Elephas maximus indicus: one gene and its partner. The protein of the gene in region 2 purifies or fractionates together with the protein of the main gene of each other region. This does not show direct contact. Links are inferred from orthologs where the notes say so. Each region holds a gene or a part of one and is shown on either strand. Other genes may lie near its edges.

The links. Proteins that work in one complex are often made in the same cells at the same time.
Region 1: the proteins of POLR1F (region 2) and protein POLR1D-like purify together in Homo sapiens (affinity purification with mass spectrometry; 3 studies listed by BioGRID and IntAct, counting the BioPlex papers as one, with this or other methods). This does not show direct contact. The link is inferred for Elephas maximus indicus from reciprocal best matches to the Homo sapiens genes POLR1F and POLR1D.

Annotation. Positions count from the first base shown.
Region 1 is NC_064841.1:59,711,919-59,722,235, reverse strand, and holds the start of protein POLR1D-like, read right to left. Parts: upstream 4,351-10,317; 5' UTR 4,292-4,350; coding exon 4,266-4,291; intron 3,270-4,265; coding exon of another isoform or gene 2,906-3,269; exon of another isoform or gene 1-2,905. Other genes in the region: POLR1D (DNA-directed RNA polymerases I and III subunit RPAC2), read right to left, coding at 2,906-3,269, 4,266-4,291.
Region 2 is NC_064826.1:80,612,965-80,623,085, forward strand, and holds the start of POLR1F (DNA-directed RNA polymerase I subunit RPA43), read right to left. Parts: upstream 4,001-10,121; 5' UTR 3,928-4,000; coding exon 3,674-3,927; intron 1-3,673. UniProt on the Homo sapiens protein: Component of RNA polymerase I (Pol I), a DNA-dependent RNA polymerase which synthesizes ribosomal RNA precursors using the four ribonucleoside triphosphates as substrates.

The DNA of each region.
Region 1 (10,317 bases), on a different chromosome or scaffold from region 2:
TCGAGTGAAATGTCATTACGGAGCAAATCAGAGAGATACTGCTCGAGTTATTTTGTATGCACGTGTGTGCACACATACAGACACACACAGGTATCTCAACTACTAGCTGAAAAGTTCAATTCAAACCCACCCAGAGGCGCCCGGCAATGTTTCTGCTTCCGCAAGGTCAAAGCCTTGAAAACCCTATGGAGCAGCTCTCTGCACATATATTTATGACAACATATATGTTATATATCATATGTTGTCTTACATACAATTCATGTCCATCTCCCTCACCCTTTTTTTGACCAATTCAGTCTTCCCTCAGGTTTCTACAGATTTTATGGAAGTAAGATTCCTTCCTCCTTCCAGATGTGCCTTTTGGTTATCTTGCCTGCCCTCAGTTTTCCCCCTTCTGCCTTCTGAAGGTGCTCATTTTCTTCCACTGGCCACCTACAGATTCAAGACAGCACTCCACATTATCAGTGACACTAAATCCCAGTTGAAGCAATGAAGTCACGTGATGCATCAGTGGTCACCAGTGGGTGTCTTTCCCACGGGTACTGGTAAGAATGACTCAGCCTGTATCATTCTACGCCTCTAGGTTGACTTATTGAACCATGGTGCAGTGGTTAACCAGTCAGGCTGCTAATCAAAGGCTGGCAGTTCGAATCTACCAGCTGCTCCTTGGAAACCCTATGGGGCAATTCTACTCTTCCCTATGGGGTTGTTATGAGTCAGAATTGACTTGACGGCAACAGGTTTTTGTTTTGTTTACATCTTCCAACAGGCCTTGGTTCAGAGGTACTAAACTCTGTTTACTATTCCCATAGGGCTACTCATAGGCAAAATTTTGTAAGAGGCAGAGAAGGTTTTGAACCTCTTCCACCTATCCCTTTAGGGCATCTTTGAGTGCTAATTCCCATAAACTGACATTGGTTTTCCAGAATCCATGACTGTCACCCAAAGAATATTCCCTATCCTTGCTCCATGTCTTTAATCTTTCTCATTCCTGCTCCCATCTAAACTTACCTCTCCAGTGTCCTTTGTGTGTTTTCTTTATTGGGAAACCCAAACTAAGCCATTCTTTTGTTCAATGAATGCTAATGTTTGTTTACCCTTCTTAGGCACTAATGTTGCCCATTGCCCAAAAACCTCCAGAACATTAACTCCAATTGACATTTTTCTGTCCTCTTGATTTCATTAACATCACTCTCATCTTTCAAAGTATTGGCTCCCACAAGTTCACTCAAGTTAGTAGATTTGAGTGAATGAAAGGCTACGTGCCATAATTACATACATAGGTTCATCCAGTATTTATTAAATGTCCACTATCGTTTTTTTCTCGGTTAGGCATTACGCCAGGCAATGTGATCACGAGTTAGTATACCAGGAAGACAGACAAATAAAAGCACTAACAGTAGCACAATAAACATTAAGACAAGGAAACATAGGGTGTAATGAAAGCACTTAAGCACCCAAACTAGGATGGGGAGTCTGATGTGTAAGTTTTGACCTAGAGTACGGAGGGACTAAGTGTTCCAGGAAGCGGAACAACATAAAGGCCCCAAAGAGCACTGCGGCGGGGGAGGGGGGGATGGAGGCTAGAGTGCTTGGGTCCAAGGGTTGACATGTATTTAGGGTCAATGAAGAGTCGAGCTGGGCGGGGGTGGGACAGGCACAAGAGACAAACTGAAGAGGTAGACAGGACAGATTTTGGATGGGATTCACTAATATTTCAAGTTTTCTGGAAAAGTTATTTTCCCTAGACAGAATTTTCCTTCTTACTTTCTCTTGAACGATGCTTTTTCTACGTAAACCTGAGTTATTCTTAGAGACCTATCTAAGAACTGAAAAGGTTACCTAGACATTTCAGTTTTCTCTTCCTTGGAAACCCTGGTGGCATAGTGATTGAGTTCAGCTGCTAATCAAAAGGTTGGCAGTTTGAATCCACCAGATGCTCCTCGGAAACTCTGGGGTACTTCTACTCTGTCCTATAGGGTCACTATGAGTTGGAGGTGACTAAACAGTAATGAGTTTAGTTTGATATAATAAAAACCTTTTGGCCAACTTAGGTCATTTTCTTTTTTTTATGGTAAATATATATGTAACAACACATTTGCCTTTTCAACATTCTTCAGTGTACAATTCAGTGACATTATTTATGTTTATCCTGTTGTTCAACCACCACCATTATTCATTTCCAAATTCTCCTATCACTTTTATACTTAGGGCATTTCTGACTAAATATTTTATCAGTATCCTGAAATTCAAGCAAGAAACTGGCATCTATTCTATAAGAGCTCCCACAAAGATGGAGCCTGACACCACCTAAAACTCTCATGGGAAAGCAAAACTCATAAAATTCTTTCAAATTATCCCCCAACCTTGCCCAATACTGCAAAGGCTGCAATTCTCTAAATATATATATATACACACATACATATCTATATATATATATCTATCAAGAAACCAAATTTTCCTTTCCTTTCCTTTTTTTCAATCAACCAGTCTATCTGGGGCTATGTTCTACTGCCCTTCCTCCTCCAAATCACAGCCATGAATGTGTACTCCTTTTAAGTCCTATGATCAAAGTCCTTGTCTAAGGCCTGGTTTCCTTATAGTTTCCTCACTATCAGTACTGGCTCAGCTAAAAGAAAAAGAAAATTCATCCTTGGGTATCATTTGGCTACAAATAACAGAAACCACTCAAACCAGTTTAAATAAGAGGGAATTTATTCAAAAGAATACAAAAATACTTGCAGGGAATCCAACAGCTGCAATGGGTCAATAGCTAGAAGCACACCTTTCTGAAGGCTAGATCATGCTTTAATCACACAATTCTACTTCTGGGTTGTGCATGATCGTGAAGAAAATATCCTAGAGTATCCTTGTCATATGGTGCATAAGGGGCTAGAATGTAGACTCATTTCTGATTGCCTTTTTGGTCCTTATAGTCCTTTATGCTTGCCTCAAACTTGTCAAGCACATGTTGGCAGACACTCATGAGCTCATTCAGGCCTCTCTGAAACAGCTCAACGGCTGGAAGACCACCTCGTGTCTGAATGCGTAAATTGATTTTGCTCTCTGAAGGATGGGTCGTAGTGTAACCACAAAATTCCACTTCTGGGTTCTTCATGATCATGTAACGAAGAGAATTTCCTAGGGTATGGTCCTCTTCGTGCAATACAAATGTCACACAGTGTCTATCTGTTCCAGCTGCCTGGACCATTTCCAGGGCAGTCTTCCTCTCGCCTTCAGCCACTGAGGTCTTCGATCCTTGTGTTTTTCTACACACACATTTTTTATAAAAATGAGATCATACTGAATAGTTTTCATGACTAGCTTTTTTTCATTTACCAATCACAATTACAACACATTTTTACTCTAATCCACTCCAACCACACAGAACTATTTATTTGTCTCTTATTTTCCTGCCTCGGCAAATTCATTTAACCAATATTTAAATTACTGCCTCCAGTTTCTCCCTACTCCATTTGACCCTCCATAGGGACACAAGGAGAGCCTTCTTAAGGCACAAGCATAAATGTTTGCTAAAATATTATTTTGGTAGAGTCACAAGAAAGAGATAAGATTAGAATAGGGTGGGCCCTGCTGGAGGATGAAGAGGGCACCGAAAGTGATAGGAAAAAAAATACTGCTTAAGTGTAAATGTCAGATTTAAGTCCACAGATTATCGACATGCAGGCCCAGCTATGGCTTCCATTTGCAAGAGGTAAGGAAACTAGAGGAATGGAAGGTCTGAGAATAGTCAAGCAGGAGGGAGAAAAAGAACTCAGCACATAGAGAAGTGGCTTTACTAACAGTCTGCACAGAGAAGCTCGGGAGCAGTAAACACAGGACTTGCTTGGGTCTGTGCGAACACCCCAATACCATCCACTCGGGAACAGTGGCCTGGTGCGGAATGTCACCCGTTAGTTTTATTTATTCCTGCTGTTCTAAGGCGGGAGGAGCAGCTCGGGGGCTTTGCTCTGGTCTCATAACTTGTCTCCCCTCCTTGATAGCTACCAGTCTACGGAGCGTGTCCATTCAAGCCATCCATGTCTCTCACCCTCTCTCTCTTCCCCATGGCGGGCCCCCTCTCCACCCAGGCGTCCACGTCTATCCCCCTTTCCTCTCTTCTCGGAGCCCCGGGTCAGGCCCATCCTGCCAGGCCGGGCGCGGAGGCCGAGGCCCCGGCCTGGCCGCGCGCCTCCTGCCACCGGCTCTCCGGCCCGAGCGCAGCCCGCTCCTCCTGCCCGCTCGCCCGCCTCTTGGGCCGTTACCTCTCCAGCTCCTGGTCGTCCTCCATCGCGGCGGCAGGTTCCGGGCTCCTCAGGCGGTGCTGGCGGACCGGAGGCTCTGCCCCATACCGCGCAACGTGCAGGCGAAGCAGGAAGGAAAGACCGACGGAAGGAGGGGAGACGGAAGGAGAGAGGAGGAGCCGCTTCGGCGCGGCAGGGCCCGGCCGCTGGGCGGAGCTTAGAGGCTCCGCCCCGGCCCCGCCCCCGGCGCGAGGGGGGCGAAGGCGCGAGGCCCGCCCTGCTCACCTGGTGCTCCCCCGGCAGCCTGTCCGCAGAGCGGGAGGGGCGGAGAGGTGGGGTCCGGCGAAGGCCTTACAGTGAGGCCGGATACAGGCCGGTGTATGCCGGAGCTCAGCCCTGGGCACCTTCCCCCAGGTGAGGGCCAAGGGGGCGGGGCCTCACCTGCCGCCCCCTAATCACCTTTCTTAAGAGTCAGGCCTCTTTCTGTCTTGCTGTTAGACCCATGAGGATAGTGTTGCTCCCAGGCTGGCCCCTCCCGGCACCCCAACCCTCAAGGGGCTTTCATGGGACGACCCTAGGAGCACTCAGCGGGTACTGAGGTCTCTGTAGATCGCATTAAGTTTATCAATACACTTTTTAAGAAAGGAAGGAGGTAATGTGGAAAGAGAAGAATTTCAAACAAAATGGTTTCAGACAGTATTTGTCTCGTCGGAGATCTTGCAGTTGCACAACGTCTCGATTAGGCCAAAGGACACGCGTTTGCCTTTATCTTGGGGGAGTGAGAGTTTGCAAGAAAACTGGTTTTCCCCCTTTCTACCCCTAGAATACGTCCATCCCCGCTTTGGGCTTCTTTCCTCCCTTATCCTTTTGGCTCCTTAAACAACCTCACCTGCGGAACCTCCCTCTCACCTTTGTTCCCAGGTGCCCTGCCCCCGCCTCTGCAACCTTTCACCACCCGGAATCGGAGCTCTCCGCCCGCTTTCTTCCTTCGTTTCGCGTCTCTTCGTCCGCTCAGGTGCTCTTGTTCGTCAATAACCGGTTCTCCCTTCCCACTCTTCCGCTCCCAGCACCTCCCTTGCCCCCCGTCAGGCCCTGTCCACACCCCAGCTGTCCTCTCCCAGCACACCTACATTTCTTTTTCCTGCACCACCTGTTCTTGCCTCCCTCCAGATTTCCCTATATTTCCATCTCTCCCCCAGCTGTCCCATTCTCCTTGCGGCACTCGGGCATCGGGGACTCGTGCTGAGACACTTCCCGACCGCGTCTTTAGCAGGGAAATCAGGCAGGCGGCGGGGACAACCCTGACGCGGTGGGGGAGGGACGGCGGCGAGCGGGCTCACTCTAACCCGTGAGTGACGGCCCCTTCCTGACCCGCCCCCGGCGCACTCGGATAGGTGGAGCCGCCGTCTGGCCCGCCCCTTCCCCGCCCTGGGCGGCCGTGGATTGGCCCCGGTGCGTGTCAGGTTGGGCGATTCGGCCCCGGCGCTCGCCCCCGGGAAGACAGCAGGGGCGGTTGAGAAGTGAAGTCTTGGCCAGAGTTTGGTTCTTGCCAGGAAATCCGCGGCGGCGGCTGGAGGCAGCGGCCACGGCGGCGATTCCCGGCGAAGCGGCGCCGGGCTCGCTTCCCGCTCCTTCCGCGGGCTGCGGAGAGCGGGAGCCAGCGCGGGGCTGAGGCGCCGGGAGCTGAGCGCGCCGGACAGCCGTGCTTCCCAGTAAGTAACTTTGCCCGCCGCCGCGTCCGCTCTCTCAGGTGCCAGCGCGCTTGGCGCGGGCGGGAGGCTCGCGTGCAGGGAGCTGCGGGAGCCGCCGCACCGGGAACGGCGCCCAGCCTCCCCTCCCGGCGCGCCCCTCGCCGGCGGCGCTCTGGCTGCCTGGTGGAGCCGCGCCCTCCGCGGGTCTGCTCCCTCGCTCGCCCGGTAGCGGAGGGGACCTGGGCCGCACTTGCCGGCCCCTCGAGCGGACCCGGCGTGGGGGCCGGCCGCGCTTGTCCGGGACGGAAGTCCGAATGCCCTGCGGCGGTGCCGGCTGGAGCGGCGGGCGGCCCCGGGCTGGTCCCCTTGGGTGGTTTCGGCCGCTGCGTTACTGATCTCGGCGTCGTTTGCTTTTTTTAGGGAGGGGAGAGGTGGGGGTGAGCTTTTTATTTCCCGTACCTGTGCTATAGGGGAGGATGAGAGTGGTACGAGCTGCCTTCGCATCCGATCTGGTTCCCCTGGAAAGGGAGAGACAGGGAGAGCGCATACCCCTGTCCCAGCCTGTTGCCTGTTCTCTTCTTACCTTTCGGTTTAGGCTGCAGGGGGTGGGAGAACGATTTGCCATCTTCGAGGTGGGAATTTCAAAGTACAGATCTTGATTTGGAAGCAGCTGCGTGCAAAGCACGGTTTAGGAAATACACCACTCATTTTTCGAAGCTTTTTTCCACGTTTTAAGCCAAGGACTTTTGACCTCTATGTAGGGTTTCTTATGGTGTTTCAGTTTGTATTAAAGGTTGTACATCCTGATGTTCACATCTTCCAGAAGCTAAAGTCAGTTCCTGTATGGGGCTTCACTGTGTAGGTTATTCTTTTGAAATCACAGAGATCAGAGACGAGGTGAGATCAAGTGCAGTGGCAGTTCTGCAGGGGAAAACAGTTGGGAACTATGTATTATTGGCACTGCCTTCACTTTAAGAATTCCGTATTCTTGCATCAATAGTACTTAATGTAAATTGGCCTTCGTCCCAGGATAGATTTTCATTTGTCTCTTGCATGTGCTGTGACTAAGTGCTGATGGAGCTGGATCTCAGTAGATCAATTTTATTTATTTTGGTAGATTTGATTCCAACCCTCATTCCTCCCCCACTTTGGAAAATGTACTTTGGCAAGTAAAGAAGGAAGAGGGGAATCTGGTATCTTCTTTGGTTTGTCAGAGCTTTGTTGAGCCATGAGTAACAACGTTTTGCCTTTTTAGTTGGTCCAAGTCACAAATGTGCATTTTCCCAGAGGGGTCAAATGTAGGCCAAATCTGAACCAAAGTAGAATAACCCATTTGTAATTCAGCCCACTGATGTGCTCACATTCCTAATTTTGTATCTCATTCCTCTCCTTTTCTCATCAAGTTAGAAATTTTTCATTCTTTCTTCAGTTATCAAAGGATGGCATACTACTGCATGCCACGTGTTGATGGCCAGGGGCAGCCTTGCCCTGGAGTTGCTCACAGTCTCATTTGGAAGCTGATACAGACCAGTGTTCTATTAGTTATCTGAAGGTAATTTGAACATAGTGGTGCAGAAACTCAGAAGAGGGAGCAAATTCTGTCTGGTTGGGTTAGGATTTTGCCAACTATATTCTAGGCAGAGGAACTAACATATATGCCACTTGCAAATACTTGTATCTTTGGGGTGTTGCTATATGAAGCCTGCATATGGTCAGTCTGGCTGAAGGACAGTGTCTGGGTTTCAGGTAGTAGCCCCTGGCTGGTACGTTACTCTTTTTGGAGCAGTTAGCACTTTGCATTGCTCACAGTGGGCGGTCAAATACTTCGTAAACTGATTTTAACAGAAACATGAAGCATTTTGTAAACCAAATTAAAAAATTTGGACTTTATTCAGTCAGTGATACAGAGCTGCTAATGTTAATTTGGACAGTGTCATGATAACATTTCCATACCCAGAAAGATACAGGTTTTCCCTGCTATTCCAAAGAAGAGTGTTCCTGTGAAACCTTTTGTAAGCTAAAATGGCATAAAGCAAAGAAGCAATTACCTTTAACTTCTATGGAAAATTTTTTGCACATTCCCAGACCCAAAAAATAACCTACCAAATCATACCAAATAACATATAAAGCCTAAAATAACACTAACATGTAGTAAAAGCAGGAATGATATGACAAGTACACTGCCTGTATAAAGTAGAAATAATGTATGGTGTAGTTTCACTTAGCAGAATCGGGAAGACAGTGAACATACCGGAAGGCTGAGAGGTGGTGGTGGTGATGGTAGAAGCCCCTGTAACCTGGTTATGGCTACTTGATGCTGAGTGTAGTTCCCAGGGAAGGAGTTGGTGACGCCACTCTCACTGCTCAGAATACACGCTACCTCTGTAAGGGTTTGCTGCAAAACAAACACCGAAAGCTATTTCTGCTTTTTGCCTTTTTTTTTTTTTTTCATGAAAGCGAAAATCCTCTTCTGATTTCTTTCGGTTAGCGAAAACAGGTACTAACGTAGGTCTTTCATAAAAGCAAACTGGCATAAAGGGAACTTTAGAAAAGTGGGGCATTCCTGTATCTCTGCCATAGCCTAGAGGATGGTGAGGATCTGGATGGGACATAGAAAGCACAGTAGGAGGCTGTTACAGGAAGTTCCAGCCTCAGAGCTCCTCATTCTGGACCCAAATGGCCCGGATTTAAATTTGGCTCTGTCACTAACTATGTAACCTCTTTGTTCATTAGTTTCTTCATCTCATAGGACTTGGGGGATAAAACTTGATCAAACATGTGCATTCCCTAGCCCCTAGCATAGGGCTTAGCACATAGTAAACCTGTTGTCATCGAGTCGATTTCGACTCACAGCGACCCTATAGGACAGACTAGAACTGCCCCATAGAGTATCCAAGGAGCAGCTGGTGGCTTTGAACTGCCGACTTTTTGTTTAGCAGCTTAACTCTTAACCACTGAGCCCCATAGTAAGCACTTAGTAAATGCTAGTTATTATTCTGTATGAAGACAGTGGGAGTGGCATTGAGAAGGTATGCTTGACTATACTTGGTAAGAGACTCAAACCCAACTAGATATGATTAATGAGAGAAGGGTGATTCCTTGGTTTTTTTTTTTTTTTTTTTTTGTCTCGACGCACTGGAGTGTACTGGTTGAGCTGGCTATAGATTCAAAACAGTGTTCGAATTTCACTTCCGCAATCATCACCAGAGTTGCTATCCAGAGCTTTGGTTTCCTAATAGTTAGGAAATGAGCCTAGTGCCTGACTAGTAGGGTTTGAAGATCAAATGAAATTACGCATGAAATGCCCTTGGCAGAGAACCTAGTATACTCTAAGTGCCAGATAAATATTAGTTGTTCCTTTAGTGATGATGACATTAATAAGCTAGTGGAACATTGTAGCATATGAGAAGGAGCAGCTAAAAACAATTGATGGTAGAGTTGGGGAAGAGAAGATAATTATTCGGTTTTGGACCAACCCGATGAGGTACTAATGGATAGCTGAGATGTCCACGATGTAGTTGTTGGATAGAGGTGTCCAACAGGAGCTTTGAAAAAATAGGAAGAAATATATTTTCTTACATAAAGCCTTTGTGGGTGGGGTAAGCTTTATTGGAGATTTGGGAGAAGAAGAGGGATTTATACTGTAACAATGCCTGTGTTGATCATTGAGTATTAGGCATCTCTACCCTTAAAATACGTTTGTACCACTGATGACAGGAACTCCAGGCTCTGAAATCTGGCTCTTTCCCCCACCACTTTCTTTCCTTCTTTGCCCCTCTTTCTGATTGCCTCTAGAATCCAAGTACTTTTTATTATGTAGTGGTGTCTTAGTTATCTAGTGCGGCTATGGCAGAAATACCACAGTGGATGGCTTTAACAAAGAGAAGTTTATTCTCTCACAGTTCAATAGGCTAAAAGTTTGAATTCAGGGCACGGGCTCCAGGGGAAGCCTTTCCCTCTCTGATGGCTCTGGAGGAAGGTCCTTGTCATCAGTCTTCCCTGGCCCAGGAGCATCTCACCACAGGAACCTCAGGTCCAAAGGACGTGCTCTGCTCCGGACACTGCTTTCTTGGTGGTGAGGTCCCCAGCTCTCTGCCTGCTTCCCTTTCCTTTTATCTCTTGAGAGAGGAAAGGTGGTACAGGCCACACCCCAGGGAAACTCCCTTTACATTGGATCAGGGAGGTGACCTGAGTAAGGGTGGTGTTACAATCCCACCCTAATCTTCTGAACATAAAATTACAATCACAAAATGGAGGATAACCACAGATGATACTGATAATCATGGCCTAACCAAGTTAATACACACATTTTGGGGAGGAACATATTTCAATCCATGTCGAGCCATTTAACTTTTTCCTGTTTGTGTAACCAAACTTTACTT
Region 2 (10,121 bases):
ACTATTTCAAGAAAGCATTGCGCCAGTGGGGACACTGCATGTGTAATCTGAGTTGTGCATTCAAAACACCTGAATCAGCCCCCATGTGTAACTGACGCAGTCCCCATGTCTCTGATGCGACATCTAACCACTTCAGTCTTTCCGTGTAGTCATCCCTGAGCATTAGCATGCTGAAATACATTTTATTATATCGTATTAGAGCGCCACGTAGTTTTTTTTGGAATTGCATTGTTGTTGTAGCTGCCGACCAGTAGATTCTGATTCATGGTGACCCCGTGTACGGAGAGCAGAACTGCTTCACAGGGTTTTCAAGGCTGTGAACTATCTGAAGCAGACCGCCAGGCCTGTCTTCAAGGTGCCTCTGGGTGGGTTCAAACCACCAACCTTTAAGCTAATAATCTAGCACTTAGCCATCTGCACCAGCCAGGGATTCCGTAAAATTGTGTAGGTGGGTTATATTATCTTTACATTTTATTTCTGCATAGTAAAGAGGACACCGTAAGATAGTAAAGGTGGCACTGCAAAATATTAGTTATAAAAAGGAGGAGCTGCTGACAAGATAATGTGACAATAGAGCCTAGGTGTAGAAAAGATTTGTATAAATCCATCAAACTTTTGGGAAAGCAATTCAAAGTATATAAGTTACTAAAGGTCACCAGAAATGCAAAGACAGATACTCCAACACTATATATCTTTTCCTTCTTTCCTTTTGTTTTTCTGAAACCTTCTTAAGTAGGCTTCCAGGCAGCGTGATTGCCTCACTTGAGATATTTAGGGAAAAATCAAGTTTAAGGGATGCTTAGAGTACACATTTAAGACTTATCTGAATTTCTAGGAGGAACATACTTGCCACTGTCAATTAATTCAAGAGCTGTCATATGGAACACAGATAGATTTCCCCTCTCCTTTTTCTGAATGGCCTTAAAGGCACAAGTTAGAAGCCACACAATGTTAGAAAACTACTTACTTTGTCTAAGTAAAGACAGCCCAAAGTTGAAATGAGATACCTTTGAAAAAAAACCTCGTTACTGGGAAAAGAAAGGTGAGGGAATACTGTTGAGAGGACTTAAAAACTAATTTGAGAGCCATTTTCAATTCCTCCCTTTCCTCAGCCTCTACCTGATTGTATCGGGTGGCCATTAAGTCTGAAAACATAAACAACTATACTAAATAAGTGGTTTATTAATATTATGCCACAACCCATGATATGTGCAATGTATTGTCACTCAGTAGCAATGCACAGTTCACCACATGACATCAATCACCATGAACTAGGCACATTAATGAAGCCTTTCTACACATACATGTGTTAACATTGCCTCACATGACTTGTAACTGATGTGCACTGAATAAACCTGCATCTTTAGCATACCTCACAAGTAACTGAAGGGGTGAGGCAGGTCTGTTTAGGATGCAGCCTGCTCCACATGGCTAAATGGTCCAAAACAGTTCCAGAAATTATCATTTAATAGGTTCCTTAAATTATTATGCAATCATTCTGGTGTAATAGCTTCTGCCTGAGCCACGCAGGGTAACTTTCCCCTACCCTGTCAAGTGAAGGCATTAAGTGGTTATGAAAAGTAGTAAAATACATTAAATGGTTGTCTGTTTCCAGATTTTATGTATGTCACCTTGTATATCCTCAAATCTCTCAAATCCACCCCCTCTAATTTTTCTCTGTAATGATTATAATCTCTTAATTGGTCTCCGTGTCTACTGCCTAAACCTTCTTAAACCATCATTTAATGCTATTAAGTATGGTTGCTAAAACTGCAAATCTGATGATGTCCCAGGGACTCTCTCAAGTGTATGCCAAGTCTCAGAGTTGGATGAACTGCTAGTCCTGTTTAAGCACATTGAGAAAAAAAAGAAAGGAAAACCCAAAACAAAGCAAGAACAAAAAAAAAAAAAAGAGAGAAAGGCAAACATGACGATCCTTTCTGAGTCACCCATCTTTGACTTCCTCTCCTCTCCAAGTGCACCCCAATAGCTTTCCCCTGATATAAAAACCTTATTCCAGTTGTGTAGTACTTACAGTTCCTGCATCACAGCATACTATTTCACATCTGAATCCATTGTTTGGGGCCCTAGTGGCACAGTGGTTAAGCGTTAGGCTGCTAACCAAAAGGTCAGCGGTTCGAATCCATGAGCCCCTCCTTGGAAACCCTAGGGAGCAGTTCTACTCTATTCTATATGGTTGCTGTGAGTCAGAATCAACTCCATCACAATGGGTCTGGATTTTGGTTTTATTCATTGTTCATGGCGCTCTCTTTACTTGGAATACTACCATCTAAAAGTATCCTCCCTCTGTCAAGTCATTCTCAAAACTCCCAAAATCCAACTCACACTCCTTTTCTTACTATAACATAATAGAGATTTATGTCAAATTTTAACACTTAACTAGATTTGGCTTACATTTATATCCCTCTATTAAATCTTAAAACTCCTTGAAACAAGAATCTAGCTTTTGTTTTTGCATACCAGGTCCCCAGTATAATCCCGTTGCTGTTGAGAGGATTCCGACTCATAGCAACCCTATAGGACAGTGTAGAACTGCCCCATAGGGTTTCAAATGAGGGCCTGGTGGATTCGAACTGCCGACCTTCTGGTTACCAGCTGTTGCTCTTAACCAGTACGCCACCAGGGTTTCCAGGTCGCCAGTAGGGCCAGGGCAAATGTTTGCTGGTGTTTGCAGGAAGTTGTACAAGATTGATGGATGTGATTGATTGTTAACCTGTGTTAGGTCCAGGATCCCTGGAGAAAGTGTTAAAGGTTTTGAATATTTTCCCCAAGGAAATTCACACAGGAAATTTCTGCAACTGGGGAGCGGCGGTGGTGTCATGGAATTCCTGAAGGGCTACTATGAGTTCCTAGAGAATCCATTAACCTCACCTTTAGAACTCATGTTTTTGAGTCAAAGTAGTCTAGTCGAGTATTAAGGCGCATTTTTCTTCCACCTGTAGATTTTCAATTTTCAGAGGACTTTTCAACACCTTAATTTAAAGGAACCAGAGGGCTTTTCCCCTCAAGAGCAATAGGCAGACCAGTTAGGCTTCCATTGCTCTTAAAAACGAAACAAAACTAATGGTATTTCCCTCGTGCCCGATTAGATCCAAGGGAAGAGAATACGGGTAGTTATCAGTGCAAACATAACAAACAACAAAAACGTCCTTTATGTTTTATAATTAAACGATTGTGCTCACGCTTCACGTGCAATTTTCTGTAGAATCATAGACTCTGTTGAGGCACTGCATTCCAAACTTTCATTTGACCAATGAGAAAGCTATCCGCAAGGAGCTAAATGATGCGTTCATTGCCAAAGAAACTTGATCTACCAGGTCTCCAGACCCTAGACTGTTAAGGAGTGAGCTTCTCCACTCCCCCCAATCCACGGCAATCACTTCATCTTTCAGTCTTCTTTCCTGACTACGAAAGGGGCCCTGGAAAGATCTCGACCACGCAGGCAGGTACTGGCTTTGGGGGGTAGATCAGGACCCCAGAATGCCCCGGAGCTAGTTCCTGTTGGGCAGCTGCGACTTTCCCCATTTGCCCCTTTTCTGCTGCGCCATCGACAGGACCACTCGCCGTTCCCTCCTCCTCTACCCAGAAGGGGCTTCAGGCTACGTTATGGCGTTGTCCCCAAAGTAAAAGAAAAAAGCAAAGATACTGGTACCTCTCCGAATAGCGCAGGAGCTCCGCGTCGAGCTGTTCTCGGATGCCAGTGCGTTTCCTGTTGAGGTAGCGCGGTGACAACGCGATGTGCCTCCGGTGCGGCCCGGCCACCAGGCAGGAGTAGTGGTTACTCACCAGCGCGCAAGCGGCAGCGTAGGTTGGCAGCTCCAGACAAGGCAGGACGCCGGCCGGTCCCACCACCGGCCCTTCGGAGGCAGCCTTTGGCCCCGGTACCGCCGAACAACCTGCAGCCATGAGGCTTGTCAGGTTTCCCACGGCGCGCGCCACTGACGCAGGAACAACTGCTTTCTCCCCTCGACGACTTGTTTAAACGTCATCCCACAGGTACCCCGCCTCTAACAATTTCCTCTTCTCGGGCTGCGTTACGGAGCACTGACCAGCAGGGGGCAACCGCTTTTCTGTGCTCCGAAGCCAGCCTGCTACGAAACTGGTTGATGCTGAGCATGCGCGAAGGCCAAATAACGAGGCTTTGGACAGCAAGGTTAACAGTATTTATTTTAGCTTCTTTCCCGTAGGGAAACCCTGGTGGCATAGGGGTTTAGCGCTATGGCTGCTAACCAAAGTGCTACGGCTGCTAACCAAAGGGTTGGCAGTTCGAATCTTCCAGGCGCTCGTTGGAAACTCTATGGGGCAGTTAGGACTGTCCTATAGGGCCGCTATGAGTTGGAACTGACTTGAATGCACTGGGTTTTGTGTGATGTCCTGTGTAAGTTTAGTGGGGGGGGTCCCACCTTGATCATTGCTAGTAGTCATGGGGTTTTATAAACCTCGACGGTACAGTAATATACCAATAAATGTCTATGGAGTGTGTTTTATGCAAGCAGCTCAAACCAAAACCAAACCCACTGCCGTCGAGTGGATTCCAACTCATAGCGACCCTATAGGACCGAGTAGAACTGCCCAATAGGGTTTCCAAGGAATGCCTAGCGGATTCAAACTGCTGACCTCTTGGTTAGCAGCCGTAGCACTTAACCACTATACCACCAGGGTTTCCGAAAAGCAGCTCAGATCCTCAAATGCAACACACCTGAAAGTGAGCCCTCGGTGTCTCTCAGTTCAGTTTCTCTCCGGATTCTACAATCGCTAATTCAGCAAACTATACCACGGCCTTCCAGGTGGCTCAGCCCAGCTATCACCTTTGAGACCTCTCTTACGATTTAATCCACCCCAAGGCTTGTATCACCCCAAATTGCGGAAATCTCTCTCCAGTAGGAGACTTGTGTTCATCCTCACTGCTCAAACTACAGAACAGGCTTTCTTCTGCTTGTGGAAACCTGGCCTAATGGTCAGGACACTCTAGAGCAGCTTGGGAACGCGTCGAAGAAGCACAAGTTTTAGCCAAAGTGAGTGCTGGCGCTTTTGTAGAAAGCAATCCAGGCAATATGGCATGGTTGATAGGAGCCAGGTGCAAATCCGGGCTTTCGCGCCTTGAGAAACTTGCTTCCTCTTTTTAAATTTCAACGTCCTTACCTGTAATTTAAAGATAAGATGAAACAGTGAAGTTGTGAGGCTTAAGCAAGATAATGATAGTGGAGTACTAAACCCAGTGACTGACCTGTAGTAAGTGCTCAACAATATATCTTTTTTTCAGTTCGTGATTGGTGCCTCAATATAATATGCTTAATTAAATCTAACTAAGACCCTGAAGTTGAGCTTGGGTCCAGGAACATATATGCCCTTATTGAATGAATAACCAGGTAAACCAAAACACCAAACCCAGTGCTGTCGAGTCGATTCCAACTCATAGCGACCCTATAAACCCTATATATATATAAAAAAAAAAAAAAATTAGAGCCCTCAATTTAGAGGAAGATTTAAAGAATGCATAAAACCTGGAGTATGTCTTGGCTCCAAATCTTTTTTTTTTTTTTTTTTTTGCTTCGGTGTTAACTGTTAGGTGCGGTCTAGTCGGTTCCAACTCATAGAGAACTATGTGCAACTTAATGAATCCTTGCTATGATTGGTGTTGTTAGCATAATTATTTCAGCTCCTCCTCGGTGTACTGCCATTATAAGTGAATCATGTATGTAATATTTGATTCAGATTAAAGTAATTTAATTTCGCTATATCTCCCTAAAATATTTTGTTAAAAAAATTTATTCTATATATGCACTATGCATTCTGAGATACAATTTGTGATTTTGTTGGTCCGTATGAAGAATTAAAACAGCTTTCATACAAACTAGTTGTTTGAAATAAATATATCCAGTTAGGGAAATCGTCTTCTGTTAGCCATTTAATGAATTGTGAAATACAGCGCTTTTAGGGAAAAATGTGTGAAATGTGCCTAATGGATTTTGGAAATGAAGAAACAATGAACAAAAATCTGTACAAAGATATGTAACAAAACTACTGGTTCATGAGGGGCACTGGTGGCAGTTGTTAAGAGCTGGGCTGCTAACTCGAAGGTCGGCAGTTCGAACCCACCAGTCTCTCCTTGGAAACCCTACGGGGCATTTCTACTCCGTCCTATAATATCAATCCACCCCACAGCAACAGGTTTGTTTGTTTTCTGATTGGTTGACGCAGACCACTTGCAATTCACAAGTGTGTCACCAGATGGCAAACATGAACTTTAAAATTGTGATGTTTCGCTTTAGACCAAGACGCTGTAGGAATGGCAAAGATCGAGCAGCTGTTTATTGACTGCTTGTTTTTAGCAACAATATCTTTTTTTAAAAAGTCTTAGGATCCGTTTTTGACTCTGAAAGTTTCTCCTACTTGCTTATTAAATTGTAGACCTTAACTGATATACACCATGCTCATAGAAGGCTTAGAAACAATGAAGGGGAAAAACAATAACGGAGCACATATACTACATCTTATTGGATGTCATAGATCTGGCATTTTACAAAGGGTAGCTGTTGCTGTACATGCATAAAAATGAAGTAATTCCAATGGCTCTGTCTATAAATTAAGATCCAACTCCTTAAATAAGGCGTGCTTTTATTGGTGGTCCTCAAAGTGAAATCCCTGGACCAACAGCATCAGCAGCACCTGGGCATGTACTAGAGAGGCACATTCTCAGGCCCCACTACAGGCTAGTGAAGCAGAACTCTGGAGCTGGAGCCCACCAATCTCATGTAAACAACTCTCCAGGTGAATGTAATTCCTGCTGAGGTTTGAGAAACAGTGCCTGTCAAAAAAAAAAAAAAAAAAGAGGCCTGAAATACAGGGGAGAGGCCCTGAATTGATTGTTTCTATTCAGGTATAATTGATGTAAACACACTGATAATTAACAACCACTTGATGAGCTGTTTCATTTGCTTTAGTGTTAAAACACAGTAAAGATTGCTAAATAATGAACATAAAATGGTACACAATTTACAAACACCCAGAAAGGAAGAAGTTCATTCTCACACGTTTGTTACACAGAATGAATTTCGGCCTATGTTCCCCTTTGGATAGTACAGAAAGGGATAGCCTTAGAGTGATTTTTTAAATTCTAACTTAACAAATGAGACAAAACTAACTAGAAAATATGTGTGTGCACATGTGTAATTGCAATTCACAATTGTTTCCAGAAGTCGGAAAAGAGTAAAGAAAATCAGAAGAGAAAGGTCTAATTTCTGGGGGTATGAGGCCCTTTTTACGTAATTTACGGTCCTGTTATGAAAACCAAGGTCAGTATTTCTTCTAAGGCCCTATTTCCTCCCCAGTCTGGCCTTACTGCAACTGAGTTTCAACACCTCTCTTTCAAGGTTTTCAAACCCAAGGCGTTTGGCTGGTAAAATTAGCCATGGTGCTTGAAAAGGCGCCTATGGAAATTCTCATTTACTTCCATCTGTCTTCAGCTCACTGCAGAATAAGTCAGCAACAGTTTCCTTTTTATTTTCTGAAGGTTATTTTAAAGCTGTAGTTTAATAAACCACCTGCTAGCTGCAGAGTTTGTGTGGGTGTGAAGTCCCAGATCCCTGACATTAAATGTCTCCAAAGAACATGGTAGGAAAAGTTTGAGGATAGAAAGTAAATAAAAATAAAACTGAGATGTGGTATATTTTGATGCACAATTTACTTTCACTTAAGAGTAAATTTCTCTTGGTCTTAAGACCAAAGAAGATGCATATTAATGCATTGTATCCGGATTCCTTCCTTCAGCTTCAGGGTGCTCTTAATTATTCTATGCGCTGGGAATTATTACAGTAATGTATCGGTCTTTATCCAGGGGCACAGTGGGCTTCGTGCAGACTGAAAGACTCCCAGCAGTGAAATAATGCAACAGGGTACTCTGAAGAACTTTACAGAGGAAGAAGTTTCTTGGTAAAGGCCAGTTTCCTTAGTAAAATAAACATCTGTAACTTCAAGTTTTGCACTAAAATGGGGATTTCTGGGTGGGAAACACAGATGACTAAATGAAAGCAACTATGTGGTACAAAGTGAGTGATGTTTGCTCGATGCTAATCTAAAGATTGACAGTTCGATTCCACCAAGTAGTGCCACAGAAGAAAGGCCTGGCAGTCTGCTTCTGTTAAGATTACAGCCAAGAAAATCCTGTGGAGCAGTTCTACTCTGTAACGCCTGGAGTCACTGTGAGTTGGAATCCACTCAACGACAACGAGTTTTTTATTTTGTTTTACCCCTCTGAGTTTAAAGTTAAGTCGCTCGGTTAAAATGCTCTACTGTGAACCGAAATGTTTGTGATTTAAACCTACCAGCCACTCCACACTGCCCTGGGAAACCAGTGAGGCAGTTCTTCTTTGTCCTGTGGGGTTGCTATGTGTCGGAATCAACTCGACGGCAGTGGGAATCTCTGAATATCACTTTCCTTTGGTGTTTTGTGTGTGCGTGCGTGTGTGATTCCTCCTGGCTTGCACTGTATCAGCTCTAGGGTGATACCAACAATGCTGGCTCTGGCCTGAATAAAATTTCTCTCTCTGTTGTTCCTTGGCATAGTTGAATAGGTTGAACTAGAGATTGAAAAGAAGAAAAAAGGAGACTACCAGCACACACAGGGAAACTACATATCTGACATTTAAGGGCAGGAATTGTTCATAACAGAACTCGTTTTCTCTGTCGCTCACTGGTCCACTTCCGTCAATCAAGTGCAAGGAAAAAATAATCTTGCCTGAGTTCCTCCTTATAGCTCCCTGTCTCCCTCCAAATGACCTCCTAGATGTTCTGACCTGTTTACATTCAAGGAAAAGGAAGCTCAAGCTTTCTCATTAGTTATCCAACATCCTTCCTTTGAATTTCTCTTTCTGATTTGAGCATATGTCTCTTTAAGAGATGATCGACACTGTTGAAGTCACTGTGTCGCTAGCAGCTGCTGGCTCAGTGACCGAGTTTAGATTTCACTGCCTAATTCAGGCGTAGGGAGTCCTATTAAACAATCCCAAGTGTCCACAATGAAGTGAGTGGGGGTAGCAGTCAAAGCTTGACAACTGGAGAAATGAGGTCTCAGGTTCAAGTGCAGGGGCCAGAAACTGCAATCAGGGCAGGGGTCACAGAATCAGAAATTTAGATTTGGCATCAGAAGAAGCAGAACAAGTAAAGGACGGCAGGTGGTTTATACGGAATCAAGTCGTGATTTGCTTTATGGACCTAAGTTTAAACACATGTTGCATGACTTGGTTGAAGGGCTTCAAGATTCAGAGTCATAACCAGAAATGACCTCACCTTTCAGGTGAAATGTTGATCTGTGTCCACCTTTCCCTTATTTCATGTTAAATAAATGATATTAATATAAGAAATAGCACTGATAGCACAGTGGTTAAGAGCTCCGCTGCTAACCAAAAGGTTGGCGGTTCGAATCTGCCAGTCACTCCGTGGAAACCCTATGGGGCAGTTCTACTCTGAGTTGGAATTGACCGGACGGTGACAAGTTTGGTTTGGTTTTGGTTTATAGATAATGTACATTGTAATACTGCTTGCTGAGTGTTCACTATGTGTTGGGCAATTGACATTTACAAATTAAATCCTTAAATAATTCTAAAAGACCTATCACCAGTCTTGGGGGGTATGGGGACTGCAGTTCAGAAAATCTAAGCAGTATGTGCAAGACCATATAATGGGTTAGTGATTGAGCCCATACTCAAAGCCAGTGCTTGTTTTCGACATACCCTGATGTCCTCAACAAATTGCCTCCCATAGTGATGGGGTGGCGGGGTGGGGGGCATTGCTTCATGGAAGGCTATAAAGAATCATCGTGCAATAATCCAGCCTGGTTTCAAACCCCCGTCTGTCAACCACTAGTCACTAACTTTGGACAAGATTTTTCAGTGTCTGTATTATGGATTGAATTGTGTCCCCCAAAAATGTATGTTAACTTGGCTAGACTGTGATTCCCAGTATGTGTGACTGTCCACCGTTTTGTCATCTGATGAGATTTTCCTATGTGTTACAAATCGGTGGGTATGGTGTTAACAAAATGGAATTAACGGCAGTTATGTTAATGAGGCAGAACTCAATCTACAAGATTGTGTCTTAAG